Callithrix jacchus: one gene and its partners. Each later gene encodes a partner of the first gene's protein in a complex. Links are inferred from orthologs where the notes say so. Each region holds a gene or a part of one and is shown in the gene's direction. Other genes may lie near its edges.

What was found.
Region 2: the proteins of INHBA (region 1) and ACVR2A are in contact, whole or in part, in a crystal structure (PDB 7U5P), measured with the Homo sapiens proteins. The link is inferred for Callithrix jacchus from reciprocal best matches to the Homo sapiens genes INHBA and ACVR2A. Residues at the interface, in NP_002183.1 of Homo sapiens: Ile340, Ala341, Pro342, His346, Arg397, Pro398, Met399, Ser400, Met401, Leu402, Tyr404, Asn409, Ile410, Ile411, Lys412, Asp414, Glu421; in NP_001265508.1 of Homo sapiens: Asn36, Asp53, Lys56, Phe61, Thr63, Lys65, Val74, Lys75, Cys78, Trp79, Leu80, Asp81, Asp82, Ile83, Asn84, Val100, Phe102.
Region 3: the proteins of INHBA (region 1) and FST are in contact, whole or in part, in a crystal structure (PDB 2P6A), measured with the Homo sapiens proteins. The link is inferred for Callithrix jacchus from reciprocal best matches to the Homo sapiens genes INHBA and FST. Residues at the interface, in NP_002183.1 of Homo sapiens: Asp315, Phe327, Asp337, Trp338, Ile340, Ala341, Gly344, Tyr345, His346, Gly360, Thr361, Gly363, Phe368, Thr371, Arg397, Ser400, Leu402, Tyr404, Asp405, Asp406, Gly407, Gln408, Asn409, Ile410, Ile411, Lys412; in NP_037541.1 of Homo sapiens: Trp33, Arg35, Val44, Leu45, Arg60, Phe76, Met79, Asp135, Glu152, Pro154, Glu155, Val180, Val181, Asp182, Gln183, Tyr188, Val190, Arg221, Thr224, Cys225, Arg229, Ser230, Ile231, Gly232, Leu233, Glu328.

What each region holds. Positions count from the first base shown.
Region 1 is NC_133512.1:9,931,761-9,941,215, reverse strand, and holds part of INHBA (inhibin beta A chain), read left to right. Parts: intron 1-1,745; exon of another isoform or gene 1,746-1,899; intron 1,900-5,195; coding exon 5,196-6,088; 3' UTR 6,089-9,455. UniProt on the Homo sapiens protein: Inhibins/activins are involved in regulating a number of diverse functions such as hypothalamic and pituitary hormone secretion, gonadal hormone secretion, germ cell development and maturation, erythroid differentiation, insulin secretion, nerve cell survival, embryonic axial development or bone growth, depending on their subunit composition.
Region 2 is NC_133507.1:82,528,246-82,538,329, reverse strand, and holds the start of ACVR2A (activin receptor type-2A), read left to right. Parts: upstream 1-4,116; 5' UTR 4,117-4,342; intron 4,343-4,667; exon of another isoform or gene 4,668-4,700; 5' UTR 4,701-4,779; coding exon 4,780-4,834; intron 4,835-10,084. UniProt on the Homo sapiens protein: On ligand binding, forms a receptor complex consisting of two type II and two type I transmembrane serine/threonine kinases.
Region 3 is NC_133503.1:156,369,567-156,379,609, reverse strand, and holds the start of FST (follistatin), read left to right. Parts: upstream 1-4,868; 5' UTR 4,869-5,031; coding exon 5,032-5,116; intron 5,117-7,000; coding exon 7,001-7,192; intron 7,193-7,605; coding exon 7,606-7,824; intron 7,825-8,182; coding exon 8,183-8,407; intron 8,408-9,066; coding exon 9,067-9,297; intron 9,298-9,759; coding exon of another isoform or gene 9,760-9,761; exon of another isoform or gene 9,762-10,022; coding exon 10,023-10,043. UniProt on the Homo sapiens protein: Multifunctional regulatory protein whose primary function is to antagonize members of the transforming growth factor beta (TGF-beta) superfamily including activin, myostatin, GDF11 or bone morphogenetic proteins (BMPs).

The sequences.
Region 1 (9,455 bases):
GATCTCCTAGCTGTAGTTCGGAATTCTTCCTACTCGACTGGTTCCTAGGTCCAAAATCAGAAGTGCCAAAGTTCTCAGAAACTTTGGAAGAAGTCTCTGAAATGTTGTGGGTTGAACCTTAAGAATTTTTGCTGCTTGTAGGATCCTAAAACCCCTTTCTCCCGAAATATTTAACCTTTTTCATCACCATTTTAATGGAAGAGGCATGGATGATGGATGTTTGTGGCTGGCATTTATAAATCAATAATGGATCCTAAGAAGGGACATTAAAGCTAAAAAGTTAATCAAGATAATTTATGGCCAAACCTGTAGTTCTACTGCAGGAAAGATCCTCTACTGTAGGTCGAAGGCGGAATGACCTTAAGACCTCACTTGCTGCTTTCTGCACAAACCCCTGGAAGCAGTCCAAATGCAAAGTTAGAGCTTCAGAGAACGCACCCTGTAAGTGGTAGTTGTGTATACCCTTACCATTGACTATACCATATCTAGGCACAGTGAAATCTTGATGAAGAATGGAAAATTAAAGGAACAGACGCTTTTTACAGGGAGGCTTCCCCCATCCCCTACCCCATGGTAAGTTTAAATATGTTCTTTAAACAACAAGGCTTTCCACATTCACATTAGAGACATAATTATTGCCCATATGCAAAAGAGCAACATATTTTAAGCAGGACCCTGGTGAGGAAAACAAAACCAAATCGAAACACTGCATGTGTGTGTAGCTGATTTAATTGGAACTGTTCATACACTCACAGATCTGAGATGCTGGACTTCTGGATGAGCCCAGCATTTGCCACCTAGAGTAGGGGGAGGGAACAACAAGGGGCTTAGCTGCTTAACCCTAGGCATGCCTTGTGATTGGCTCTTTCAAAACATTTTTAAAATTCTGAAAGCAAATAAAAATGTGCTACAAACACCCTTCCGGGTATCTTTCCTCTCCCCTGTCCAATCCTTCCCACCCAGCAGCATTTCAAAGGTATTCCCTGTGAGGTACAAAATTTCTCTCTGCCCATTTTTCTGCACCTCTTTTTCTCTCTCTTTGGTATGTGTCCACCGAGCTCATAGAGGTTTAAGTGATGAAATATTATCACCCACATGGGTTTGCGTGGGACTTTCTTAGTGAATTACTCAGGCAGAGCAGGCTGTGATACAGCCTTGCTCACAAGCCTCGGGAGAGAAAAAATAGCACAGAGGCTGAAAAGAATATTATCAGAGAGTAGGTAATGAAAGGTTAGCAAAGCAACCAGCTATATCTGGCTAGCTAGGTAATAGTGAAGGAACCTAGGTCGCTCCTGTACAAACTAATGCAGAAACTGCTCACAGCGCATTATGGGAAGGCTTTTATTTCAAGATTTTACAGCATGAGATATTTAAGTGAAAGCTCAAACTGATTAGAAATTGATCCCCAACACCTCAGCCTTAGTCAACCTTCCCTTTTTCAAATTGTTACGCATGGAGACTGGAGGATTGGGGCACCTTGAAAATGTCACTGCACTATTGCAGTCTCTCTCAGGTAATATAAAGGGAATATAATAAATTGACCTGTTATTCATTATATTTTTCATACCTAGGACATTCCAGGGCTGTAATATATTTCTGAAGCCTGCAGCCCTGATAAACATCAATCCCATGTCAGTTTCCAGCAGTCTCACCTCCCCACCCCCTTCTGCAATGAAAGCTAATGTAAAAGAAAGAAATATGCACTGCTTAATAAGTCAGAATACAATAGAACTTGTAAAATGTACCTGCATACAAGGTAGACATTAGGAAGACTTGACTCTCTCTCTTCCCCCTGTTCTCCTGAGCATTATGGCAACAGCATTTTCATGAAATTAGATCTGTTTTTTTTTTCTTGATATATCATGCAATATACAAATAGCAGTTCCAGAAATGGACACCAGGAGAAGGAGGCGACAGGCATGTCAATTAGTAGGGGGAAAATCCAAATGTCAGAAATATGGGGGAGAGAGAAAGCACGCAGGCAGTGGATGCACATACAGGAAACAGAGTCTTTCAATTCATATAATTAAACGGATGCATAAATCAGCGCCCGCGCCCCTCCGCAATACTCAGGCAATGCCATGCAGTTAATTATCAGCCAAGACCAGCATGAAAGTCATTTTATGATGACTCTCTGATCCTAATATAACAGCACCTGACAGATTGAGCCCCCTCTAATGAGTACTCTCTTTGTACAATCCTCTCTCAGGAACACTAAATCATTTGCTTCCAAGTACAGCTGCCTGTGAAGAAGGGGTGGGGCTAGATCATGCCTTAGAAACCTGCTCTTGTGAAATGAGGGGCTGTCCTGTAGGCTGTGTGACTGGAAGCCAGCAGCCACAGCCTCTCCAGCCCCACAAAAGCAATTTGCACGCGGCTGCACTAATTCCAGTCAGCCAAGTAACCCTCCCTCGGCACCCCCACCCAAACATCTGTAGTCTGCCCTGGATGTTATTCATGGAAAGGTCGCTGCAGGCAGGTCAGCACTGCTGTCCATCAACCTTCACCCTGACCCCTTCTGGCAGGTGTGGTTGAGAGCAGAGCAGAGCCCATGGGGATGAGTTACCCAAAACCCAGTGAACCTCCCCATCTGGGCACTAGTCAGACACTCCAGTTTCACATTCTTTCCTAGAAAAACAAAGCCCAACCTTGTGCCCTCTGGCTTCTCTAATTTACCAGCTACTATCTCTCCGTTTTGGAGTGACACCCTGTGCAGTTTAGGGTTTCAGGAGCTGTCCTGCGTGGAGGCAGAAGGGAAAACAGCGGGTAGCTTGTTAACATTCTCCAAGGGGCAGGGCGGATGTGCCCACGCTGGAGGTAACCTGCACACCCTCCGGGCCAGTTATCTGAGGCTTGGGAGGTTCCCCTCAGCCTTCTCCTACGGCCTTGGCAGGACCTTGCCACCTTAAAATCAACTGCTGATAGTCTTTTTAGATTTAAATAATTAAACTCTGCTTCTGGAAATCTCTTTTACTTTATTAAAAAACAAACAACAACAACGAACCCCCCACCAATTCTTAGCAAAAGGGAATATGGAATTCAGATTTTGAAAAAATAAGTCATCATGCTTCCTAAAATAAGACCGCTTCTCCCTCTAACTGCTCCCTGCTCTGGTATTCTATCTAATCTTAAACCCAACTTTATTATTCATTTCAACTCCTGCCAAAGACATGAGGTCGGAGTCAGAGGAACTCCCCTTACCACCACCACCATCATCATGGCCAGCATCCTCGTACGTTTATAGAAAGATGCCAGAGAACCTTTCATATCCATCTGCAGCCCTGCTTGTCCCTTGCCTCAGTGAATTTACCACTATCATAATCACAGTGTGCAGAGTGTGTTAAATTAAGAACAGAATCTACAGTACGCAATGCACAGAAAAGCCTGCCTTCTGCTGCAGAGAACTTGAAACTGTGCCTAAAATTTATAGTACCGTAAACATCTCAGGGCCTCGAGTGATAAGTATGGCTGGATTTCCGTTAACTATAGAAATCCAGGCAGGGAGATCCTCCCAGGGAGTTGCGAGTTCTAAGATGAACTTCTTAAAGATTGTTCCCAGATTTGTGCATGGGATATATGTACAGCGGACAGTTGTAAGGAGGTCCATGGTCATGGGAAAGAGGATGTGTTTCTATATGCCACCAAGGTGGGGAAAATGGAAGTGAGGGAAAATATCTGATTAATCAAAAAATTCTCATTTGAAAACCTGCTTTTATAGTAAATGCTGCTGCATGATTAAACATGCAGGTGCTTAGGAAAAGAGAAGGAAATAGGTGATTTCCTAATTTTAGAGTTAGACTAGAACTGCATGTTGCTAAGTTCAACTGCCCTGACAACGTGGGGACTTCCTGTGTATTAGCAGCGATTGCTATTTGACATAGGTTTCTGGTGCTCACTAAGCTGCACTCTAATGGGTCACAGGCAAAAACAGAGGATTCAGAGGTATGAGGTGGCTATCTTAATTTAATAGAACTCAAGGCTAAGGACTCCTCCATGAGTTAAATAAGTAATCAAGTCATTGCCTACTTTCTGCTAAACACTAGACTATGCTAGTGACCTTAGACCCTAGGCATTCTAAACCAGGCTGGCAGGAGGGTGGTGGTGGAGGAGATGTGAGGGAAGCCTCCTTGAGAAAGTGTCATGCAAGCGATCTGAAAATTGAAACAGTATTAAAGGCAGCCCTAAGGGTGGTATGCTGGAGTTTGAGGGGGGCAGGAGCACTTGAGGCAGGAGAGACAGCAGGTGTCACTGCCTGCAGGTGAGGGAGGTGTGGTTCTCAAGGCCTCAAGGGAATACTGTAGCTAGACCCCAGAGAACAGGACTGGGCAAGAGCTGGTTTTCAAGGTAGAAACAGCATGCGCACAGCCCAAAGTCCTGGGCAGTTTCTGTTAGATACTGAGAGCAATAGGAAGTCAGTAAAGGACTTTCAGGAAGAAGTGGTGTGATCAGATCCACCTGCAGGAAAGATCCTTTGAGCTGCTTATGGAGAAATGACTGGAGAGAAGGCCTGTCTCGGTCAAGCAGAAGCAAAGTAAAGAAAATGCTGCTGGTGACCCAGCAAAGAGGTGACTGGGGAGGAGTCAGGCTGTGACACGGGAAGAGGAGGCTGGCTCAGTGTGTCCCTCCTGCACAGACCTACACACTGAGGTGGGGCCAGGGGCTGCATTTTTGTCTGAGAACAGCATTTCCTTAGCTTTCTAGAGCTTGCACGGTCTTTTTGTTTCTATTATCTCATTTGATCTTCCTCAACCTGTGAGATAACAGGTCAAATGTCATTATGTCATTCCCATTTTATAGAAGACGAAACTGAGGTTAAGCAATTAGTCAACAGACACAGACCCTCAGGCCCTCTTCATTCTAAAGTAAGGGTCCAACAACTTTTTTCTGCAAAGGGCTGGAGAGTAACTAGTTTAGGCTTCATGAGCCAGTCTGTTGCAGCAACTCAGCTCTGGTTTATAGCGCAAAAGCAGCCGCAGGCAGCATGTACAGACATGAGCATAGTTGTGCTCCAGCAGAACTTTATGTACAGGCACTAACGTACAGAAGCAGTCACGGCTTGTGGGCTATTATTTGCTGACCCCTGTTGGAGAGGGTCTATCACAGAAGACTCCTGCTTGTCTGGAATTTGTGAATGCATGTTAAAGTTGGAATTAACAGGTGTCCCTGTTTTCTCTTATGCTGTCTTTCATAATTAGGCACAGCCAGGAAGACGCTGCACTTCGAGATTTCCAAGGAAGGCAGTGACCTGTCAGTGGTGGAGCGTGCAGAAGTCTGGCTCTTCCTGAAAGTCCCCAAGGCCAACAGAACCAGGACCAAAGTCACCATCCGTCTCTTCCAGCAGCAGAAGCACCCACAGGGCATCTTGGACACAGGGGAGGAGACCGAGGAAGTGGGCTTAAAGGGGGAGAGGAGTGAACTGTTGCTCTCTGAAAAAGTGGTAGACGCTCGGAAGAGCACCTGGCACGTCTTCCCTGTCTCCAGTAGCATCCAGCGGTTGTTGGACCAGGGCAAGAGCTCCCTGGACGTTCGGATTGCCTGTGAGCAGTGCCAGGAGAGTGGCGCCAACCTGGTGCTCCTGGGCAAGAAGAAGAAGAAAGAAGAGGAGGGGGAAGGGAAAAAGAAGGGTGGAGGTGAAGGTGGGGCAGGAGCAGATGAGGAGAAGGAGCAGTCGCACAGACCTTTCCTCATGCTGCAGGCCCGGCAGTCTGAAGACCACCCTCATCGCCGGCGTCGGCGGGGCTTAGAGTGTGACGGCAAGGTCAACATCTGCTGTAAGAAACAGTTCTTTGTCAGTTTCAAGGACATCGGCTGGAATGACTGGATCATTGCTCCCTCTGGCTATCATGCCAACTACTGCGAGGGTGAGTGCCCGAGCCATATAGCAGGCACATCCGGGTCCTCGCTGTCCTTCCACTCGACAGTCATCAACCACTACCGCATGCGGGGCCACAGCCCCTTTGCCAACCTCAAATCGTGCTGTGTGCCCACCAAGCTGAGACCCATGTCCATGTTGTACTATGATGATGGTCAAAACATCATCAAAAAGGACATTCAGAACATGATCGTGGAGGAGTGCGGGTGCTCGTAGAGTTGCCCAGCCCAGGGGGAAAGGGAGCAAGAGTTATCCAGAGAAGACAGTGGCAAAATGAAGAAATTTTTAAGGTTTCTGAGTTAACCAGAAAAATAGAAATTAAAAAAAAAACAAAAACAAAAACAAAAAAGTAAATTAAAAACAAAACCTGATGAAACAGATGAAGGAAGATATGGGAAAAAAATCCTTAGCCAGGGCTCAGAGATGAAGCAGTGAAAGAGACAGGAATTGGGAGGGGAAGGAAAAATGATGTACCCTTCATTTCTTCTAAAATCACACTGATGACATCAGTTGTTTAAAAGGGGTATTGTCCTTTCCCCCCCTTGCAGTTCCCTTGTGAGCCTTGAATCAACTAGTCCAGTCTGCAGTAGTGTGGACTAGAACAACCCAAATAGCATCTAGAAAGCCATGAGTTTGAAAGGGCCCATCACAGGCACTTTCCTACCCAATTACCCAGGTCATAAGGTATGTCTGTGTGACACTTATCTCTGTGTATATCAGCATACACACCATACACACACACACACACACACACACACACTAATCGTGTGCAGGTGGTCACACTTCCTTTTTCTGTACCACTTTTGCTACAAGACAAAACAAAACAAACAACATTAAAAAATTGAGAACAAGCATGGAAAGAATGAAAGATCATGGAAAAGAGAAACCAAGTTACATTTCGTTAAGGTGCTTATGATCTTAGAACTATGCAACCTAATAGGTTTGAAACTGTTTACCTGAGAGAGAACAAAAAGAGAGACTTTTTTTGTATTGGAAGTAATCTGATTAATTTTTATTTTCTTCAAGGAGAGATACTTGAAAGGAATATGTTTGTCCATCTGTTGGATCCAAACATTTCTATATTTTGTAAATGTTGTTGTTGTTTTTAATCGTTTACTATTTGCACTACAATGGTGTTTGACCTGTCTAATCCTTATTTAACAAGTATTTTCTTTGGGTGGGGGTGGGGGTGGGGTTTAAGAGCTGCACTTAATGTGAGCTATAAAAGAACTGCTACAGCACACAAAATAGCTATTTTTATTATTATAATTATAATTATTATTATTATTTTGTACCTTAAAAAATAGACACATACACCAAAGACATTTGTGTGAGCCTTTAAACAGTCTGTCTGTGGTTGGTATCATTTACCATCAATAAGTCAGGGGTTGGGAGTAGTGCGGATTGTGTTCAGGCTTAAAAGACCTGAGAAGTTTGGTTTTTGACTCCTTTTACATCCACGAAACAGGACATTTCATACTGCATGTACAGTAGTTGTACACTGTTGGATATCAAGTTCAATCAGCTTCATGGAGCTACATGCTTGTATGTGTATATATACATTGCTTGTGCATATGCATATCTGTGTGTATATATACATGTATTGTACCATGTCCATACACATTTTAAGCACTTCAGGCTGTCATTTTTTAATGTCCTTAAAGCAATGAATGTTTGTGTGCAAAACACAGTATTTTTAAGATGAATAGGCTATAGTTTTTGCTTTTACTCTGAACTAGGTGGGCACATTTAAAACATTTGGATGGGAAAAAGCCTGGAAATTCCAGCAAATATTCAGCAAGGCCCTCTTTCGATGTACAGGGATCAGACTGCCTCCTCTTTCTTGTCCCTTCTCCCACTTCTACAAGTTATCCCCTGTGGGGAAAACAGGATGATAAGAAAAGCTCTGGGCTGATATTTTTCCAACTTACTGTCTATTGGAATCAATCTTAAATCAGAAGATTTTTGAGAAAAAAATAATACTTAGGCCAGAATTAGAATTTAGTGCATTTTTAAAAAATGATTCAGGCTTGGTTGTGAGATATATTACCCATACCAGCTGGGTAAAGTAATGTTGTCACTAATTAAAAGAATTAATTGATGAGAAAGTGCTGAGAGAAAGAGAGAGAGAGAGAGAGAGAAAGAGAGAGAGAGAGAGAGAGAGAGAGAGAGTAAGGAAAAGAACAGTTAAGAGGAGGCAAAGACGAGGGCAAGTAGTGAAAACCTCTAATATTTTAATTTATAGCCAAAACTCTTCATGTGTAAATTTGTATTGATTCAGATGCAAAGAGGAAAAAAATAACTTTGTTTTATAAATATCAAAGTACGTGCTTAAAGCCACGTTTTTATCTAGTTTATTCTAGTACTTAGCTTGCCTAGAAGAGGTAATAAATTATTCATTTTTGTGCTTTTGAAAATACAGAGCCTTATTTTTACAGACTTGTGTGAAGTTGGCAAATATTTTGAAAAATGGAAAAAAAGTTTCTGATAATTGGGAACAATTATATTCATTAATATTTTGTAAACTATTGAAGCTTTTAGCCCCATGTCAATTTGTAGATTAAAAAATTATTATAGGAAAAGGTATCAGTGAGAAACGAAACATTACAAAAAGTGGTTTATCTCTTGTTGAAAAGTAGACTAAGTTGGTATACTGTAACGCTAGGCTATATGTAGGCAACGTCACTATTGGGCAAGTTCATTTACTATATTCTAGGGGCCACCCTTTCTTATGCAGAAAATATAATAGGCACTGCATGAGAAGATTGAGAATGGATTCTAATCGGGGTCCATTGACCTTGGATATCATGCATGTGGGAAGGTGGGTGTGGTGAGAAAAGTTTTAAGGCAAAAGTAGATGGCCATGTTCAGCTTTACAAAATTTCATGGAAAACTGGCAGCATTTTGAACCACGTCTTCTTCGGTACTGGAATCTGCAGAAACAGTGTGAGAAATTAAGTCCTAGTTCACTGTGCAGTAGCAGAGATGGCTAAGGCCATGGAAAAAGCAGAAATTTACAAAGACAGCTGATACCCATGTATAGTTCCCATTCATCTCAAATACATCTGCTATCTTTTTCAGCTAAGTCCTAGATATTTTGGGGTTAACATGGCGGTTGATTAGTGACCACAGTTATTAGAAGCAGAGAAATGTAATTCCATATTTTATTTGAAACTTATTCCATAAATTAACTGGATATTTAATGATTGGGTTATCAAACACCCAAAAACTGATTTTGTTTAATTAAATGTATATGGCTTTGAAATAGATGTATAAATTGCTACCATTTTTTGATAGTATTGAAAGATATCATTTTACCATCTATAATAATATTGGAAAATACAAGCCCTGTGAACAAGTACTCTTTCACCTAGCAGCAAGAGGCCAAAAGTAAAGGTTTTTAAATTCTACCATATGAGGTTCTTAGTATGTTTTTTCTTGAAACCAGAGTGGCGCTATCTAACCTTGCTATTTCCTCACTCTTTCTCTAAGGCTAAACTCTAGGCTCTTAAAAATCTGCCCAAACCAATCTTAGAAGCCCTGAAAAGCATGTGTCTTCAGATATCTTTTAATAGTAACACAT
Region 2 (10,084 bases), on another chromosome or scaffold:
AAAAAATTAGCCAGGTATGTTTGGCACATGCCTATAGTCTCAGTTTCTCAGGAGGCTAAAGTGGGAAGAGCCTGGGAAGTCAACGCTACAGTGTGTGGTAACTTCACCACTGCACACCAGCCTAGGTGACAAAGTGAGACCCTATCTCAAAAGCAAACAAACAAAACCCAAAAAACGAAACACTTGAAATTAAAATAATAATAAAGAAAATATAAGCTTAATTATTTTACAGTTAGTTTCAACAGACATAAATATCATCAAGTTTCTACAAAACTTTCTAAACAATGTTGTCTATGTCCATACATATCTCATTAAATATTGGTAGCACATTGTTTGAAACCAGCACTGGTTTAAGACCTACACTTTGGTTATTGCAGGTTTACTCATCCATTCCTCAAATGGAAGGTTTATGCCTTCCATTTGAGATTGGTTTAAGGTAACAGGTCTCAAATTCTGAACTCTTCTTTGTTGGGTATGCTAAATGCCCAACTTCCTGCAGAGTATTTAGCATACTAGCTCCAGCACACTAAAAGCCAGTGCCACCTCCTTTACCAGTTATTGTCCAAACCAACACCTTCCCTACCTCCTACCAACCAACGGGGGCGCATCAGTAACACCATCATCCTGAACCACTTGGGTGTGTGGGTTCTGACAGTTGCTCAGTAGTTTTTCGAGAATGCACTGTGGTTATCAGCCTGGGGAGGAATTGAGTCCTAGTACCCATTCAAGCAAACTAAGCAACTGTGGTCATGAAATTAAAGTGGAGGGTGGGAAAGAATCCTTGCCAAATTAAGCCTGTTATTTTTGTTTCCTACCTATTTCTTGAATTTTGAAAGGGGTGATAATGGGGAGAAAAAGTCAAATATTACCTCTGGGATGTTAGACAGAAACCAGTTGGTTGTTGAGATTTATATTACATCACAGCTAGTTTCTCTTTAACTCTTCTAACTCACTTTCTTCACCTAAAACCCTTTGTCTCATCCATTACTTACTGGGCCCCTTATCCATTCCCATATTCTTATACTCCTTGGTATGTCTCTTTTTGACCCCATTGGCACAGTGCAATGCTATATAGAACATAAGAAGGGGAGGAAAAAATAGCAGCAAAAGCTAGGTTGTAGAGAATTTTCTTCCCACCTTGGGCACTTAAGTAGAGGGGGATATTTATAAAGGATACATCGATCATTTCTCCCTTCCTTGGACTCATGCATTATGCCTTACAGCACTGGCATATAAGAAACTCATTACTTGTGCCACTTCAAGAATGCTCATGTTATCTGAACACAGGAGAGTTTTATAGTAGCTAGAAAGCAGCAGAAATACTTCTAAATCCTTCATTTAAGGGGAACTCAACATCCTTCATACTCCAAAGGTTTTCAGTCATCTTCCTGAAGATGAAGGAAAAGAGAGTAGAAATGTCTTCCTTAAGTGTCTGTTGGTGGGTCCAAAGGCAAGTTCCATTACAGCCTGGTTCATTTCCAGCTCTACTTAACTGAAGATTTAAACTTCTTCACATCTTTTGAGCTGTGAATTTGTAATACAAAAAGAAATCTTTTATTCTGGAAGCAGTTTGTCTCACTTATTTACCTCTACCTCCTCATCCAGCCAACATTCTAGATTGAACTGGCTTCTCAAGATTCTTCCATCTGGGAATAATTTTCAGTTCAACTGAACGTGGCAAGACTCTGAACTTAAAGTTCTAGTATTGGAGTGGCCACAGGGCTAGGTCTTGGGGTTGGGAAGTGAATGACGATGCTAAAGATATTTATCTCATAATGTCCGATGCTCTGGTCGTTTAGAATTCATGCTTCCTTTTCCTTTCCTCTCTCATTTTCCTTCCCAAACCAGGTTGTACACTTTGCAAGGTGTTAGGAAGTGGCTGGATTTGTGGATTTAAAAAAGTGATTCTAGAAAATAAGGAGAAAAGAAGGACAATGGGGTTAGCCCTAGCTACCTCTTTTTAAGTTTTGAAGCTCCAGTGGGAATTAATCAAAACTCCCTGTCATTTTAGGTTACATTATTTTTGAATTTTTTAAAAAACTGAGGGGGCAAAGTAAACACATTTAGGAACAGAATAGCTAGCTACTGTTACTGGTTGTTAATACTTCTCCCCTGGGGTTATTACTATTATTTTTTGTCTTTGTTAGAAAGGAATGTTCTAGTGAAGACTGGTTGCGTGTCTTTAATACTACAGAAAGATGATTTTCATGCTCTTATTCTTATACTGGCAAATTCAGTTGGTAAGATAAAGAATATATTTTCAAGTTTCAGTTGCATTACTCACTATTCCAGTTATTCCACTTGCTCTGGTTTCACAATTAAAGAAATATTGAAATGATGGATAGATAAGACAATAGTGGGGCCTGACCCTGACAACACATTCTTTAATGAACTTCAAGTGTTTCTAGAGTAAAATATACTCTTCCATTCCAGAACCATTAGTGAAACTCTTAGTTCAACCAGAGAATGGAAGGTTTATACATATTCCTTTGCCAACTCACAAAGGTGGGAGAACTACATGAAATCAGACACCTTTAATACCGACTTGGGATTTTAACTGTTGCAAATATCAGTGAAATTCTGAGCACCACGACTTGAGAACTGGAAATCTTGGAGAGAGTTTAAAAAGCCACAATGATTATTAATAACCCTGACAAGTTGTAGAAATGGGCAGATAATTACAGGATGAACTTAATAGAAATACGGAGTAATTTAGAGGAAGTCAACTGCTATAAATATAAGTGAGAAGACTTGATTTTGTGGGAAAAGGTGGGAATCAGTAAACCACAAGTAAAACATAAATCAGCTATATAGTACAGTTGCTTTATTATTATTATTATTAAAAAAAACTTTGTAGAGTACATTAAAGGAGACTGTACTTAAGGGAAAGGCAGTTATCCTTTAGTCATTTATACAATTATTTATTAAGCACTTATCATGTGCCAGTTGGTACTTCTGGGTGCTGGAATAAAATAAGGAAAAAAAAAAAATCAAGATCTTTCTTCCCGAAGCTCACTAAAGTGTGGTAAATGACAGAGCAAGTACTTTCAATGGTCTTTAGTTTGCATTCTGCAGCCAACTGAATACAGCAAATACTAAAAGCTACTTGAGGTAGGGATCCATCCTATTTTTACCTGTTGGATCCCATTCCGTGCCTAGCACACCAGCTTGTAAGCAGTCAACATGGATTAAGGAGTAAAAGCAGGCCCTAAAAGAGCTTAAAATTTGAACATGTAAACACTTGTCTGATCATTAAATATGTCGATCGAAATTCCCAGTTTTTTTCTTCAAAGCGCAGTAAACAAGTATTTGTGCCCCTATTACGTACAAAACAGTTGTCAACACAATTCTTTGTGTGTAAAAGGAACGGTGGGAATGAATTCAAGTTGGGCATCGTGATAAATGGCGTGAATACCCTGACCGGGTGGACAGCCCTTCCTCCGTGTTTTTTTTGCTCTTCTAGTCACCAAGAGAGCACGCGTGTGCAAAAACCGCAGCGGTGGGATGCACAGCTAAATCTGGGGGCTCAGACACCAGCTCGCGGATTGCGAGCTCGCCTGGGCAGCTCGGCGGGCGCGGCGAAAATAGCTCCCACGGCCGGCTTCCACCGATTCCTCGGTCTCCGAGAGGACGACGCGTCCCCGCCAGAGGAAAGACTGGGCGCCACAGACGCCCCTCGGAGAAGCACCGGCCACTCGCCCCACCTCGGGGTCCTGTTGCTTTTGGGCTTCCCCTGACCCTTCGCGTGGGCGCTCCAGAGACGTCAGTGGGAACGCGATTTGCAAACGGGGCGCGCCCGGCCACAGCCCAAGCACAGCTCAGAGACTTTGAGGCGCCCGCGCCCCTTTGTCGCGGGATCTCTCGCCCAAGCAGGCCGGACGCCGAGGCCTCGCGGTATCAAGCCTCCGTCCGCCCCGCCTCCTCTCCCTCCACTCGGCCCCGCCCTCGCTCTCTCACCCCTCCCCCGCTCCCGCCTCGCTTCCCCGACAATCTCCTCGCGCTCCCGGCCCGGCACGCGCGCTGCGCCGGGCCGCCGCTGCAGCCGCCGCCGCCGCCGCTGCCGCCGAGCGTTCCTCCGCTGCGCGGGGCTTCCAGCTTCGGGCCGGAACCGGAAGTGTGGGGGGCGGAGCCCGGCGGAGGCCAGGAGACCGAAAACGCGGCCGAGTCCGGAGCCCGGAGCCGGAGCCGGAGCCAGAGCCTGGACCAGAACTTGGCCGCCGCCTGCACCGCCGCTGCCGCCGCTGCCGCCCGCCGCCCCTTCCCCGCACCGCAGCCGCCTTGACCGCCACCGCCGCGAGCTTGGCCGCCAATGGTCCTGAGACATTAGGTGTCCGGGTTGAAGGTCGGTCCGGACGTCGGACCCAGTCGGTTCCCAGACTGTCCGGGCGGCAGCGGACGCCGCCGCCGCCGCCGCCTCCTCGTCGCCTCAGCCTGGCGTTTTGTTTCGAGAGACCGGAGAGGCGAGCGGAGCTGACAGTGATTTTGACAGTGATTTAAACCCGCTTTTGTTGTTGTTGGCTTTTCGTTGTTTGGTTTTGTGTGTTGTGCGTGTGTGTGGCGGTTTTTCCCCCGTGGTGCATTTTATTTTTTATTGTTGTGCTCTTTTTTCTTTTTTTGTTTTTTAAACCCAGTGAACGTTTTTTTTTTTTTTTTTGGTCTGGGCTCCCGAATATGTTTTATGACGGTTGATTTTACACCAGGAGGTTTGTCTCCGAGGAAGACCCAGGGAACTGGATATCTAGCGAGAACTTCCTCCGGATTCCCCGGCGTCTCGGGAAAATGGGAGCTGCTGCAAAGTTGGCGTTTGCCGTCTTTCTTATCTCCTGTTCTTCAGGTAGGTGCAGGGAGCGCGGCGCGGCGGGGCTGCTCCTGCGGCCGCGGCGGCCGCTGCTGGGGGCCGCGGCTGGTGTCGGGTCGGAGAGTCCAGTGGAGCCTGGGGAGGTTGCCCACACCCCGCGCCCCTCGGCTGCCACCCCCCAGGTCTGATTGTGATCTGGGAACCTCCATGCATTTTTCTCCTTTTGAGTTGGGTTGGCGTGATAAGAGTGAGTGCTGTGTTGTTGTGGAAGTGAGAAAGTCATGTTTTGTGGCCATAACACTAGATGACAAGGCTGGTTGGGTTGCAATTAAGCCGCAAATACCACAAGTGGCAATTTATGCAAAGGTTGAGACCCGAAAGGAGTATTTAGTGTGGGCTCCCCTAAAACCAGGGTTGCTTTTTGTCATCTTTTAATTGGTGCTTCACCCGTGAATATCACGACATAGATCAAGTCAGTTGCTGCTTAATTTTGGCTGTGAGAAGCAGTACATCCTTTCAGTAGATTAATCTGGGTCTCCCCTCACGTTTTCTTCAACTTCAGTGTCCAGCAGTGTTAAAAATAGTTGTAGTTGTTGTTGGAGTATTAACTATAACCCACTGCAGAAGAGGTATGCCGCTTGGGGTTGGTAATGTGCTGGTGTTCAACCACCATTTGTGTGCTCTTTGGGGGCATAGATTTTGCTTACCTACGGAATACTTATTTTAAACGCTTTGTATTGAAGCGTTGTTTTCGGTTTAGAACAACCCATGTGAAATTGTTTCTGTTGAATATAATAGACTCATAAAATAGGTTTTAGCTAAAGGTTGGGGGAATAATCTGGCCATTTCATATTGGAAATTTCGATTTTGTGAGAACGTTCTGTGGTTGCAACCAGTGGTTGGAAAAACTATCTAGTCTTTTGTATTTGAAATTCTATAAATGTATACATCATTAGCTCAGAGGTGTGCAGATGTACACAACAGGAGACTTAGTTCAATAGATGAAACATTTTAAAAGTCTCATTGGATCTATTTATCGTAAAATTTAATATTCAGTTACCAGCTTGTGGCATAGAATTACTGGGGACGGGTGGGGGGGGCAAATTGACAGGTTTCATGGCCATGTCTTTATCTCGTTTGCCATAGGAAAATTAAAGGGTGGTAGTCTTCTTTGTGTACCTCTATGGGGTGTGTGTGTGTGTATGTGTGTTTGTGTCCATCTTCCCCAACCCCCTTTAAATAGAATCTTTTGTAATGTATAGAATTTTGCTGAATGGTACATTTCCTTGTGGTTAATAAATGGATAAAGTCTAGTCTTATGTCTGTAGTGGTATTGATCAGTTCCGGGTGGGCTGAATGTGTTGTGAAATGGCGATCATTGCCAGAGATTAACCAAAAGAATCATGTCTGTTTAAATGGAAGAAGGAACATGCTTAAGGCAGGCTGACAGTTCTTTTTGTGCATGGTTTGGGGAGGAAGCTAAACAATGGTGTGTCTGAAATGAATGAAGGCCTTGATAACATTAAACCTCTTGCTCTTGTGACATGATTTAACCATGTAGTTTTTATCTTTCCAGTAGTACTCTTTTTTTTTTCCTGCTTCTATATGTTGTGGCTGGTGAACTCCTCTTGTTCAAATCCCTTGTTGTGATCTCTTGCCCTTGAGGAGGAGGGGCATCATGGCCACTGACCAAGGAATTGTGGACATTATTCCCTCCAAACCCACCTGAGTCACACTAATTGGTGAAGGAGGTTATTCTTGAGCAGTCTCAAGGTATTACTTCTGGAAAAGCAGGCTGTTGCTACAGATCTTACAGCTTCCTCTGCTTGGTTTGGTAGTAAAAATAACTGAGCATTAGTTTCTTGTGGGATTATTTCCATTGGGCCAGGATTGTTTTCAGTGGGCCAGGAGGTTAACAGCTATAGTTTTGAAATAAAGTAATTTTGTTGCTATAGGGCATATAGATAGTCCACTTATATTAAATTAATATTGTGTTGTTGCATAGGCTTTTTAAGATGAACATTCCCAGTTGAACAAAAATTTGTGGTTCTGTTGAAGATAATTGAAATCTTAAAGACCCTAATCCATATTTATACATGAAGAATTTGAGTACTTAAAATGTCTGATTTTTAAAAGGCTTTTGTTATGGATCAGATGCACTCTAAAAAAGGATTATTGTGTTTCTCCAACTAATTGATTTTTCTACAAAATGTGTAATCTGGCATATTGGAAACATGAGGTAACTATTTTTATGAGAATTTAAAAAGTTCTCAGTTTGTCTATTTTCATTTCTAGATATTTTATTTCATTTTTTAATCAAAATGGGAAACAATAGTAAGAACAGTTTTGTTCCAGGTGTTTAGGAGGAATGTTTACTATTTCGTGGACTCTAATTTTTCAAATTCTATCCCATGATATGTATTCTGGAGACTGATTATGCAGACTATTCCTGTAGGATATGGCCAAGTGTATAATTTCTTCCTCTTTCTCATTCCAGGGGAAGCATTTTAAATTTTGCCCTCATCCTTGAGTGCCTTCAGATTCTCTTTGATTTTGAATTTTTTCATTCCTCTCATACCTCCTTAGATTCTGTTTCAAAACATAAATCTTAGTTTTCTTTTTATAGCATTGTGGTTAATTTGTATCTTTCCCCACAGTTTGTTAAAGTATGAGAATGACTTTAGTACTTGCCTTAGTACTTAGGTTTATCCCATTTAGAGTGATGCAGCTATTGTGGTATTTGAGTTGCATTGAAGTAAGTTGAGAATTCCTTTGGATTTTGTGGGAGCTGCAGCAGTATGGTCAATCTATTTGATGAAATAGGAAATGGAAATATGGTAATCATGTTACATTTTCTTCAGTTTAGCTAGGCAATACTGTGTATGTGTGAATGTATGTGTGGTTGGAGGGAGAGCTGGCAGTACAGATAATCTTTTGAACTTTGGCTAACAAGTGATGGATGTTAACACTTTGTTTTCTAAAAGGCAGAATCTCTTATAAATGCTGTTTGCGGTCAAATTCAAATATATACATTTGAAACATGGAGACCAGAAAAAAAATGAAACAAAGTTCTCCTGCCATTCATTTTGTATTATTTTTTTTCCTATTTGTGATCTAAGCCAGTAGTTCTTAGGCTGGGGTGATTTCCCCCTCCCTAACTCCCCAAATCCCCATCCATGGGACATTTTGAGACATTTTTGGTTGTCACAACAGGGGCGGGGTGTGCTACTGGCATCTAGTTGGGTAGAGGGCAGGAATGCTGCTAATTGTCCTACAATGCACTGTACAGCCTTCCACAACAAAGAGTTTTCTGGCTTAATATGTCAGTAGTGTAGAGGTAAAAAAAAAAAAAATCCTATTCTAAGAAAACCATATACTACATGTTCTCACTTATAAGTAGGAGCCAATTGATGAGAAAATATGAAAACCAAGAACAGACAATGGGGTCTACTTGAGGATGGAGGGTGGGAGGAGTGAGGTGAGCAGAAAAGACAACTATTGGGTACTGGACTTAATACCTGGGTGAAGAAATCTGTACAGTAAACCCCCATGATATGAGTTTACCTATGTAACGGACCTTCACACCTACCCCTGAACTTAAAATACAAAAAAAAAAAAGGAACAACTCAGTTCTTAACTCTTAATATTTAAAAGCATTAGTTTATTATTAAAAGGGCTCTGCTCTCTTCCCCCTAAAGTTTGTAATCTGTGTTTTACAAGTGCATGGTATTGATGATCTCCCGGTGACCTTGTATTGAAAGTTTTTATCTTTTCATTATCTTTTAAAATTAGAATATGATTAAATTGGAGAAACAAACTATAGATATGCACATCTTTCGTCCTATTATTCTATAATAAAAATATTTTGATGAGTTATGGATAAACTCTCCTCTCACCTATTTTGATAGAGTGCTCATGAAGACTGAATGTTCATGGACATGATGTATGATTGGTTAAGGTATCAAGTTTAATTATATTTGCTTTAGAGCCAGGATTTTCTTTGCTGTGATATTATCTTTAAGGATATTTGTGTTTATTCTTAGTGACATCATTGGGCTGCCTTGTGGTGGTATGTGTGTGTGTTTAACATGTTGCCGGAAATATGTTCACGATTACATGTTCTCTGAATGGTTTCAAGGTAGAAATTCTGTTTTTTAAAAAAATGTATATTCCTTTTGTCTAACTTTAATTTCAAGGAACTTTAACCTAATCTCTTAGTTACATAATTTTCTTGAGAATCATTAGCTGGGTTTGGTTACCATTAGACTAATTTATGATACAGTAAGTAATATTTTATGATCTATTGCAGATCCTTTCCCTTTTTAAGGTTAAATCTTGACCATAATTAATAAAATAGCTACCTTGTTTTGAACTCTGGTTTTAAGGAAGTTAACCCAGCCAACCAAGATAAGAATTACAGTGAAACTCTTAGCAAATTAAGTAGCACTATACCATAGAGAGGAAAATTCTGAAGTCATTCCCACAAATGGTATCCAAATGAGCCTCATACTGTCTCTGTAACACACGTCTCCATATCCTTCTCTCTGATACTGACGTTTTCACCTTTTGGGTCCACCAGATTCACTGCTCTTAAGAAATGAAGAACAACTAAACCAAATGAGATTTCAGTACTCTCTAAATTGTTTCTTTAGATTCTAAGACTATTTTGTTGCATTTTGACTTTTTAAAGTGCTACTCTGATTTTCTCATCTTTGATATCTACTAAGTCTGTGATTTAAATTGGTCTTTTCATGGTCTGTTACGTTGCCACTTGCTGTATTGTCTCAGATTATAGGTAAGGTTGGCAACATTTGATACTAGGGTCACTGGTATGCCCTCAGTTTTTGCTTTTTTCTCTGTAACTCCTCATTTTTTCCATTCTCTTTCATTATAATTCCCTTTCCATTTTCCTCCCTTCTCTGTCTATTCTCTTTTCTTTCCTTGACCCTTCTGTTGTACTTCTCTATACTGCTTGCTTGTGGAACCCAGTCATTGCTTAGCATCATGGGTGGCTCAAGAGGGCTTACCCATGGTTTTGAATGAAAACAGATTGAATCTAGAATGCTTGAGAATTGGACAGATAGTCTTTTCTACTGTTGTTCTTTTATTTGCTGGTTTCTGGACTACCACACACACCCGCTTCGGAGTAGTGTTACTCTCTTGGAATCAAATGGCTTAAACTTCATGTTACTCTTATTCCTTTTTAATATTGAAGTTTTCCTTAACTCTTTGCTGCTTCAGAATAAGTTTCTTTTTTCTTATTCATTTGTCTCTGTTTAAACCAAA
Region 3 (10,043 bases), on another chromosome or scaffold:
CTTAATTATGTTGAACTTGAATATACTGATATGGCTAGTTTAAGTAACTATATGACAAGTAGCTTAGCTGACTTCTGGAAATTCAAAAATATTTCTAACAGTAAAGGGGAAAATCAGGCAAAAATTACACAGAAACAAGTAGTATCTACGGAAGTGATAGCCATGATTGATCAGCTCTATATTACACCAAAGCAACCCTGAGAAAAGTTCAAGTAATCCACTGTTTTCTTAGAACTACATCAAAAAAACATTTTCTAATGATTTTTTAAAAATCTTAATCAACTGGTAGTTTGGATCTCTTGGGTAAACATTGCTTTATGTACTCACATTTCTTTACTTTTTAGTTCGCCAATGATTCAACCAGTACAGACTATTGCCCCCCACCCCCTACTCAACTCTTTATGCTAGCCTGTGAAGTTGCATAATGCCAAAGACTATGACACATTAAGTAACTGTTTTGTACCTAGAACAAAATATGATTTTAAAAACATTTTAGCCTATTTTTCAAATGCTTAACTTTTGTTGTTTAATCAAGATTGATTATTTGCATTTGAAAATGTATTCATTTTGCAAAACACCTAACTTCAAGAAAAGCTTGACATTTAATTTTAAGGCCAAAAAAAAAAGCTACTCAGTTCATGACTTTCAAATACTCCCCACATAACCTCACCCCACTCCCTCCATATTCTCTTTTTAGGTACTGAAATTTAACCAGGTCAGTTCTGGTCTCAAACAACAATGTCATATGAGTTTAAATAGCTATCTGGGGAGTTAGATTGAATCATTTGCTAAACTCTAATATTTTAAATTTATAAACTGCAGAAGGAAGATAGCTTTTGAAGCTGACAAAAGACCAATCAGAAAACAGTAGTCTTTTTGTGTGCTGCCCAGAAATTCAGTTACAAAGTGGTCCTATTGTTTCTCATAATTTACATTTTTTTTTGGCAGAGCAGAAAGGAAAAAAATAAGAAGTCAAACTTGGAGGCATACAACAAAAATGAAAGGCGACATTTTTACTTTAAAATTTCCCCTTGACATTTAGATATCCACAAACCCAATATTTAACATTTACAGACAATATAACAGTAAAAGAAATAGCAGCTGTTTTTCTGTGACGTCACTGAACAGGTGTGGTACCATTTCATACCACAGAAATGGGATGGATCTCTTGCTGATGCCCACAGAAAGCCCATATGGAACCAGTATTGACCTATGTCTCACTTCCTCAGTTATGATCAGAAAATAACCCTGGATGACAAGAGTCATGGTGACCGATCTGTGCTGATTTGAAGCAGACGTTCTCCCAAACAGATCAATACTATCCAAGGTGCAGCTGAAAAACAGGATGAGCTTGTATCATTAAACAAACACCAAGCTGCTTATTCACAAGGGCAAAAGCAACACACAGCACTTGTGTTTTCCACCGTGTGTTTGATGGTGACCTCAGCCCTGACCTGCAGGGCCACCTTCTCTGGGACAGAAGTAATCCTGTGCTGGGTCAGCCTCTGGTACTGAGGGACTCCTATGAGTGGCGGCATTTTTTACAATGAGAGCTACTGTGTCTGCTTTGGCTTAGCCAAGACAATTACATGATGCCAAAACAACTAGTCAATGCAGTTAATTTAGTCAAATGACTGGTCTGAGTATTTGGCATTACACAGACAAAAAATGAAATAGGAAGGAAATTTTAACTTTCACCCAATCATACTGCAGTTGTGAGGTTACAACTTAAATTAATTTAGAAAATTTTTGTGACATCAGTTGTTTCTATACACATAAACTAAAATAACTATCTGGATAAACCAAATAGTTTTGCTCAAACATGCAAGTTTTTTGATTAGCCCCTCCAAATTGCTTCTATTCTAATTTTCATTTAGCTACATAACCTTCCCCCCAAAAAGGTAATCTTTTTGTATACTTGTATGACTCTTTTATATCAACATGTTATATGTACATATGTGAATGAACAAAATTAAAATCTAAAAAGAACATGCAAGTTATATCATGTTCTCTTTGCTATAGGGTTATAAAATATGATGAGATCATGAACTTCAAAACAATATTCCCAAAGATATTCAGAAAATAAATATGGACTAAAATGTGATTCTGTATTTCTCCAGGCAAGATGACTTCATATACAACTGGGCATATAAGTAAAATTTAAATATTTTGGATAGTCCTAGAGTGGAAAGTCTAAGAAAAAGACCCCAGCTTCCAGAGGCTACTGGCCAATTCAGGATCAATAAATATATTTAAACTGGGGACAAACATAAAATCATGTAATTATGTATGAATGAATTTGACAGCATCACCATAAGATCCAACCACTTACCATCTTAAGATCTTTTATGTATTTGGGATGTTTAATTTTCAATCTTGGATATACTGTTTGCCCTAACTTAAAAAGAAGCTGTGTCTCTTGCTGCCATTAAAAGTGGGGGGGGCTTGAAAAAGTCAAGTAACAATACGTGTTAACTTCTCTTTCATTTAACTTTTTCCTGGTGTAGGTGGGGAGAACCTTGAAGCAGAGAAAACAAACTTTTCCTCCAGCACATCATTGTATAAGCACTATACCATCTCTCTGAATAAAGACGAAGAAATAAATTCAGCTTTGGAACTCTGCCATTGAGTGGCGGCTCCTGCAAAGGGGACAGTTTTCTATTAATTGTTAATGTCGTCTGCCATTAGAGGGCACTAAACAACTCTACATTAATGAGTTGGAGGGAAGAGAGAAAAGGAGACGGGAAAAGAAAGAGAAGGGGAAAAGGGAGGGCGAGTCTGGGTAGAGTCCGGGTAGAAGGAGGGAAGGAAAGAAGAGGGAAAGGAGTCGGGGAAAGAGAACAGAGGGAATGGGTGAGAGAAAGGGAGGGAAAGAAAGAAGGGGAGAGAGACATAGAGCGAGACAGAAACAGAGACAACATGATTCTGGAAAGATTAAGAAGCATGTGGAGCCCCCACAGCCGTCTGAAGTGAGCAAAAAGCCAGCCTCCCCCGGGCCGCCCGAGCCCCTCCCCTCCCGTCCTCACGACGGTAATTATAAAGCGAAAAGCGGCGGCGAGGTCACCCGTTTTTACCAGCCTGCTGCACCGAATGCGCGCGGTGCAGGTGCGGCGGCCGCGGGGCTTTGTGATTCATGCCCACTTTCAAAGGGGGGCTTGGGCCCGTCTGAGAGGCACCCAAACAACTGTCTTCTAATATTAGCACGGCTGTATTTCGGGATCTATTATAGTCTGTCCAGACAGATCCCATTGTAATGGGATCTTTTATTAAAAGATTAGCACTATCTCCTGCAGTTGGTGGAAAAAAATCTGTTATCACTGAGTTATTTGCAGTTGTGGAGGGGGGAAGGTTGCTGGAAGATGGGGGGTGGGAGGGCGAGAGGAAGACTGGGGGAGGGTCTGGCAGAGGGAGGGGAGTTGCAGGGGGCGGGAGGGGGAAGAAGGGCCGATTTGAAATCCGTAGGAGAACAAATCCCAGTGACCTGCGAATGTCCAAGAATCTTGTCTGCATACTTCGCTGTCTGTTGTCCTTCGGGCTTCAGAAGCGAAAAGAACAGACATTTAAGAGGCAGCTTTGGAATAAACAATATAGCATTTTCCGTGAAGTAATCGTTTTATATAAAAGGAAATATCGCCTCCTCAGTTTCATTCAGCGGTGCCAAAAAATGTTATAAATGAGAGACCCGCCAACTTTCAGCAAAGAATGCCAGGCACTGTACTTAATAAACTGAGGCTACAGAAGTTCATTATGGATGTTGCAATCTTTTTTATTCCGCGAAAAGAGAGAAGACGAGAGAGAGAGCGACAGAGAGAGAAAGAGAGAGTGAGAGAGAGAGAGAGAGAGAGAGGCTGGAGCCGAGGAGACTGAGAGAGGCACACAGGACAGAAACTGGGGAGTCTCCGGGCAAGGGAGGAAGGGGGGCCAGACCGCCTACGTCGGCGCCCCCGCTCCGGGCTCCGACTCCAGACGCTGCGAAGTGAAAGGGGAGAAAAGAAAGGGAGAGGGCGAGACTGTGCCGGGGGGAGGCCGGGCCTGAGGTGTTAAACATTTTTGTTTGCTTCTGACTCGCCCAGACGAAGGGCCGCGTCTGGGCAGCGCTCCGCCAGGGTGGAAGGTGCCGGGGCCGGGGTTCCTAGCAACAACTCTGAGCTGGGGGTGGCCGCAAAGTCAGGCACGCACAGACCCAGACACAAAACCCCGCCGGCCCCGCGCCCAGGCTGCGGGGGCCGGGAACTGCCCCGAGGCCGGCGCTCTCCGACAAGACCCGGGGCGGGATATTTGGGCAGCCCGGGGCTCTCCGGGCGTTTGCAAAGTCTCTGGAGCGGAGGAGCGCCAGCACGGAGACTAACTCCCGGGTTCCCCCAGCTCCCCCCGCCGTCGCCTCCAACGCCCCCACCGCGCCCTCCCTCTCACACTCGCGCGCGCACACACTCACACACAGACACACACACACACACACACACACACACACCCGCCACCCCGGGCGCGCCGGCGCTGCCGGCGAGCGGCGGCGAGCAGAACTTGAAGTGGGTGTTCTTCCCCACTCCCCACCCCCGATGCGTCGCCCCCACCCCCCGCCCCGGTCGCCTTCCCCCTCCCTCTCGCTCCTACGCAAATAAGAACTCGACGATTCCCCTCCAGTCGTTTTGATTTCGGGCACCTCCGAAAGATAATTGGGAAGGGTTTCCAGAAGGTGGGAAATGTCACCTGATTCACACTGAACTTTTAAAAGCTCCCCACCCCCAAGGAGCCGCGCACACCCTCGCTCGCGGCCGCCCTCCCACTGCCCCACACACTGGGAGACCGCCCACCGCAAACCGCGGAGACCCCCGTCTAGATTTAAAGCGCGGCTGCGCCCGGCTTCTGACGTCCATTGAATCGCGCGGGCGGCGGGCGGCGAGCGCGGGGTTGAGCCGGGATCGCTGCGCCCTCAGCCGCTGGCCTCTGCGACGCGCGCCGCTCACCCGAACCACCCGCCACCGCGCCGGCTCCCGGCACCGCCGCGCTACTCGCCCTGCGCCTGCCCCCAGGATGGTCCGCGCCAGGCACCAGCCCGGTGGGCTTTGCCTCCTGCTGCTGCTGCTTTGCCAGTTCATGGAAGACCGCAGTGCCCAGGGTAAGCGAGGGGGGATGCGCTGGGGAGGCTCGACTGAGGGCAAGGGGGTCGACTTTTCTGTGGTCTCCACTTGGTCTGTTCTGAGCAACGCTGCTCTCGGAAGATGTTGGACCAACTTGGGGACTCCGGGATGGAGAGGAGTGGGAAAATTGAAGGCAATGACACTTTAGGACTGGGAACGGAGTTTGGAGCTCGGTAATCTTGAAAAAGGAAAAGGAGCGAGCTGGGGTCTGAGTAGTTAGGGTTAGATGCTCCAAGTTCTGGCCATGATAACTTTAGATGTGATCTCCTCTGTGGGTCTGACTAAGGGAGCAAGTATCAGTAGTAGCCTGGAGATTTCAGTGGACCCATTTGCAGTTTCTCTCCTTCCCAGATCTTTCGAATACTTTAAGAAAAGCGGGGGAGAACCTGGGGGTTGGGGGAGATATACTGAAATTTTCTTCGGAGGCTGGGGGACGTGGTTTCAGAAACTTTGCCCAAACTTGGAAATGTGGGTGCTGAAATTTTTCAAGGGAAGTAGCTTTCTGCCTAGTGGATGCTTCTTCCAACCCCATCCCCCATCCCCGCAAAGAAAAAAAAGGAGCCAAATTATTACCCCGAAGTGCTTTCAGCACTTTAGTTTTTTTTCCCTCCGCCTCATTCTTCTTTCTGACTCTTAGCCTTCTGTAAAACAGCGAGCAGCCCATAACTGACTTGAATTCTGAAATGGGCTAACAGCAAATTTCTGAAGCTTGCCTTTAAAAAATAGATTTGTTTATTTCAATTAGTCTTTGGGCAGAATGTTTAAAATAATAATAGCAGTTTACAGTCCAATGATTGTTAAAGTCATATTGGTGATTCGTGAGAAGTCTTCCCGGCCCAAATCCGAACATTTAAAATGGGGGAAGAGGGATAAATCACTTGCAAAGATTTCTTGCTAGGTATGAAGTAGGCACGTATAACCGTGAAATGGTAGGAAACCTGCCCCCTTTAAGGCATTACTTTCCCTGCTTCAGCGTTAACATTTTAAGTGTGTTGTATACTGCGCTCCTGGCCACTGCCCCTCCCCGTCTGCATGGCACTGCGCTGGGTTGCCCGCCTTTCGGGGAGAGGCGCTGCCTGGTGCCTGGACGTGGGCGCGGAGGAAAGCAGCGCTCGGAGATTTCGAAAGATCGCGGTGGCCGCAGGCGTGCTCCGGGTCTGGCGGATTGCAAAACGGGCCCGTCGGGCGGGCTGCGCCTCCAGGCCGCGCGGGGTAGCTCCGTGCTGGGCTGGGTTGCTTTTTTTGCTTTCATTTTTCACAAGTGCCTTTTGCTTGATCTGCTCTCTCTCTCTCTCTCTCTCTCTCTCTCTCTCTCTCTCTCTCTCTCTCTCTGCCCCCCCGTCTCGTCTCTCTCTCCCCTCTCTCGTTCTCCCACTTTCTTAACCCCTGTCACAAATAATTCCTGTACCGCCTACATGAAACCAACATGTAAAAACATCCGTCGCATCCTGTTTTTGTCAGGTTCTTTAATCTGCTCTTCGAGTCGCTGCAGGTTATGAAATGGGACGAATAAAAGTAAACAGTCTAGTAAAAGTCAATGCAAGCTGCACGTGTTGTGTCTGGGTCACTGGTAACTGACATTGATATGGCTGGGGCGCTCTGTCTTCTCCCTCTCTCCCTCCCTCCCTCTCGCCCACCTCCCATCTTTGGGATCAGGGCTTCCCCCCACCTTCTTTTCCCACCCCTCCACCCCTTTCGATTTATTTCCTACTTTCCCCCCCGCTTCTCCAGCGTCTCTCTCGCTTCCCCTCCTCCGTGATCACCCTTCCCGTCCGCACCGCCGGGTCTCCTTTACTAACCACCCCCTCCCCCTGCCCCGCCACCGCTCACTCACCCACCTCCCCACCCCTGTCTCTTCACAGCTGGAAACTGCTGGCTCCGTCAAGCCAAGAATGGCCGCTGCCAGGTTCTGTACAAGACCGAACTGAGCAAGGAGGAGTGCTGCAGCACCGGCCGTCTGAGCACCTCGTGGACCGAGGAGGACGTGAATGACAACACACTCTTCAAGTGGATGATTTTCAATGGGGGCGCCCCCAACTGCATCCCCTGTAAAGGTAGGAGTCCCTCCCGACTTGCAGGCCCTCAGTAGAGGGCGTATACCCCTTCAGCTTCCCCGCTACCTGGCTGGGCTTTGGGATTGGAGAGCTTTGTTCATGGGCTTCCCCTTTCTTCCCCTTGCAAATTCGAATTCTGCATGTTAAAAGCTGTAGGCAAAACACCCCAGACTTCTTAGCCAAGTGTGGTGGTGAAGCCCGCCAACCCGTGCTCCTTGACGAGAGAGATCTGGGCTTGGGGCATAGCCCAAGGTCCGCACTCTTTCACCACCTCCCAATCTTCTAGGAGAGAGCCTGGGCCCCTCCAGCGCAAACTCAGGGCTGCAGGATTGCGCAAGGCACCCGAAGCCCTCCTGGCTGACCTGCAGACTGCCTGGCTCTGGTTTTAATCCATTCCTGTTTCCAACTCACAGAAACGTGTGAGAACGTGGACTGTGGACCCGGGAAAAAATGCCGAATGAACAAGAAGAACAAACCGCGCTGCGTCTGCGCCCCGGATTGTTCCAACATCACCTGGAAGGGTCCAGTCTGCGGGCTGGATGGGAAAACCTACCGCAGTGAATGTGCGCTCTTAAAGGCGAGATGTAAAGATCAGCCAGAACTGGAAGTCCAGTACCAAGGCAGATGTAAAAGTAGGTCCTCCCCTGTTGAGCAAGACTGGATCTGTGCCCCTCCTCCAGCTTTGTACCTAAAGTAGACCCTCTAGCAGACCCCTGGGGGATAGTGTAGTCCACAGTAAGAGCCTGATAATAATAAGACTGAAACCAAATAAAGGAGTCCTTTTCTAACTTCTCAAGACTCATTAAGAACGCTGAGGGCGTTAATGTTCTTAACCTAGAGTCATAGATTCTCTATTGAAAACCACAGGGCTCCCAAAATGCCTTTGGAAAGCTGGATGCTTCAGTGTCATGATTTCCTTAGTAACTTCAAGTGCTCATTCCCTAACGACTAGACGGTACCTTTTCATGTGTGTTTCCTTCTTTGTTCCAGAGACCTGTCGGGATGTTTTCTGTCCAGGCAGCTCCACGTGTGTGGTGGACCAGACCAATAATGCCTACTGTGTGACCTGTAATCGGATTTGCCCAGAGCCCACTTCCTCTGAGCAATATATCTGTGGGAATGATGGAGTCACCTACTCCAGTGCCTGCCACCTGAGAAAGGCTACCTGCCTGCTGGGCAGATCTATTGGATTAGCCTATGAGGGAAAGTGTATCAGTAGGTATTCTGGATTGAGGAAAGAAAAAGTGAAAACAGGCTAGTTCTGGTGTTAAACTGTGGGGTTAACTAATAAGTAAAGCCCAAGCCATCCCCAGACACCATAGGGAGAAACACGCTGCAATTTGGGGAAACTGTTGTGACCACAGCATTCCTCATGGAAACCGTTCTTCTGGAGGCATTGACATATATTTAAATGCCAGCAGGAAGCAAAAAACAGTATTTCATCTTAGAAAACTTAGAACTCACTCAATTTTACACATTTTTTTAAGTGCCAGACTTGCTGGAAGCGAAAAATAATTACTTAGCAATTCCTGAAATCTGTTATCAGATTCTAGTAATTGATGGAATTCTTTCTTTTGCAAAATATCCCACTTGTGGGAAATAATAAGATACATATTTAACTCAAGAATATTGTAACATCTTGTTCCAAAAAAAATACTATTTTCATACACTAATGTAGTATGTAAGAAACTGCAGGGGATTTTTGTGTGTGTATGTGTGTGTGTGCATTTGAGTTTCAGTTTTATTATCCAGCATTTTTGCGTAAAAGCTCCATTAGCCCATCTGTAATAACATAGAAATTATGTTTAGGAGAAAGGGAGAAAAGGGGGATATGGGGAAGTCAGTTTACTCATCACAAATGTATTGTATCCTAGAAGCAAAGTCCTGTGAAGATATCCAGTGCACTGGTGGGAAAAAATGTTTATGGGATTTCAAGGTTGGGAGAGGCCGGTGTTCCCTCTGTGATGAGCAGTGCCCTGACAGTAAGTCGGATGAGCCTGTCTGTGCCAGTGACAATGCCACTTATGCCAGTGAGTGTGCTATGAAGGAAGCTGCCTGCTCCTCAGGTGTGCTGCTGGAAGTAAAGCACTCCGGATCTTGCAACTGTAAGTGCGATTTTTAACCTTGCTGCCATTTAAGGCTTTCCCGGGCAACCCCTAGGGAATGGGCACTTAGAAAGCAAGCAGATCTCCCACAAAATCCATTTCTGTTCAAGTTAAATAGCTGCTGAGTATCACCAGCAATTCAGTAATCCACAGAAAAATTATCTGCAACGTTTCTTGGCTTTTAGGACTTATCCAGTGATCATCAATGGGCTGCCTCTAAAAATCCATTTCCAGTTGTTCACCCCTATTTCTTTTGCTTTGGTAGTGTGCTTTGCTGTTTGCTTTACTAACATTTGAATCTAAACTAACTGCTTCAAACGTTTTTTGTTTTTTGTTTTTTTCCAAAGACAGCTTCATGTTATCACACATGGGTTGCTGCTTTTTCGCAGTTGCCTCTACTCTGAATTAAGGACTCAAAGCAGTTATACCTAGAACACAAGAGCGCTTTTTATCTAATTTCAGGAATCTGCCTGTAAAACCTGAGCCATTGATTCTTCAGAACTTTCTGCAGTTTTTGACTTCATAGATTATGTTTAAAAAAATTTTTTTAACTTATTGCTTAACAGCAGATGCCAAAAACAAAAAAAGCATCTCACTGCAAGTCACATAAAAATGCAACGCTGTAATATGGCTGTATCAGAGGGCTTTGAACACTTACACTGAGCTGCTTCTGCGCTGTTGTTGTCCATATTTAAACAACAGCTCCCCTGTATTCCCCCATCTAGCCATTTCGGAAGACCCCGAGG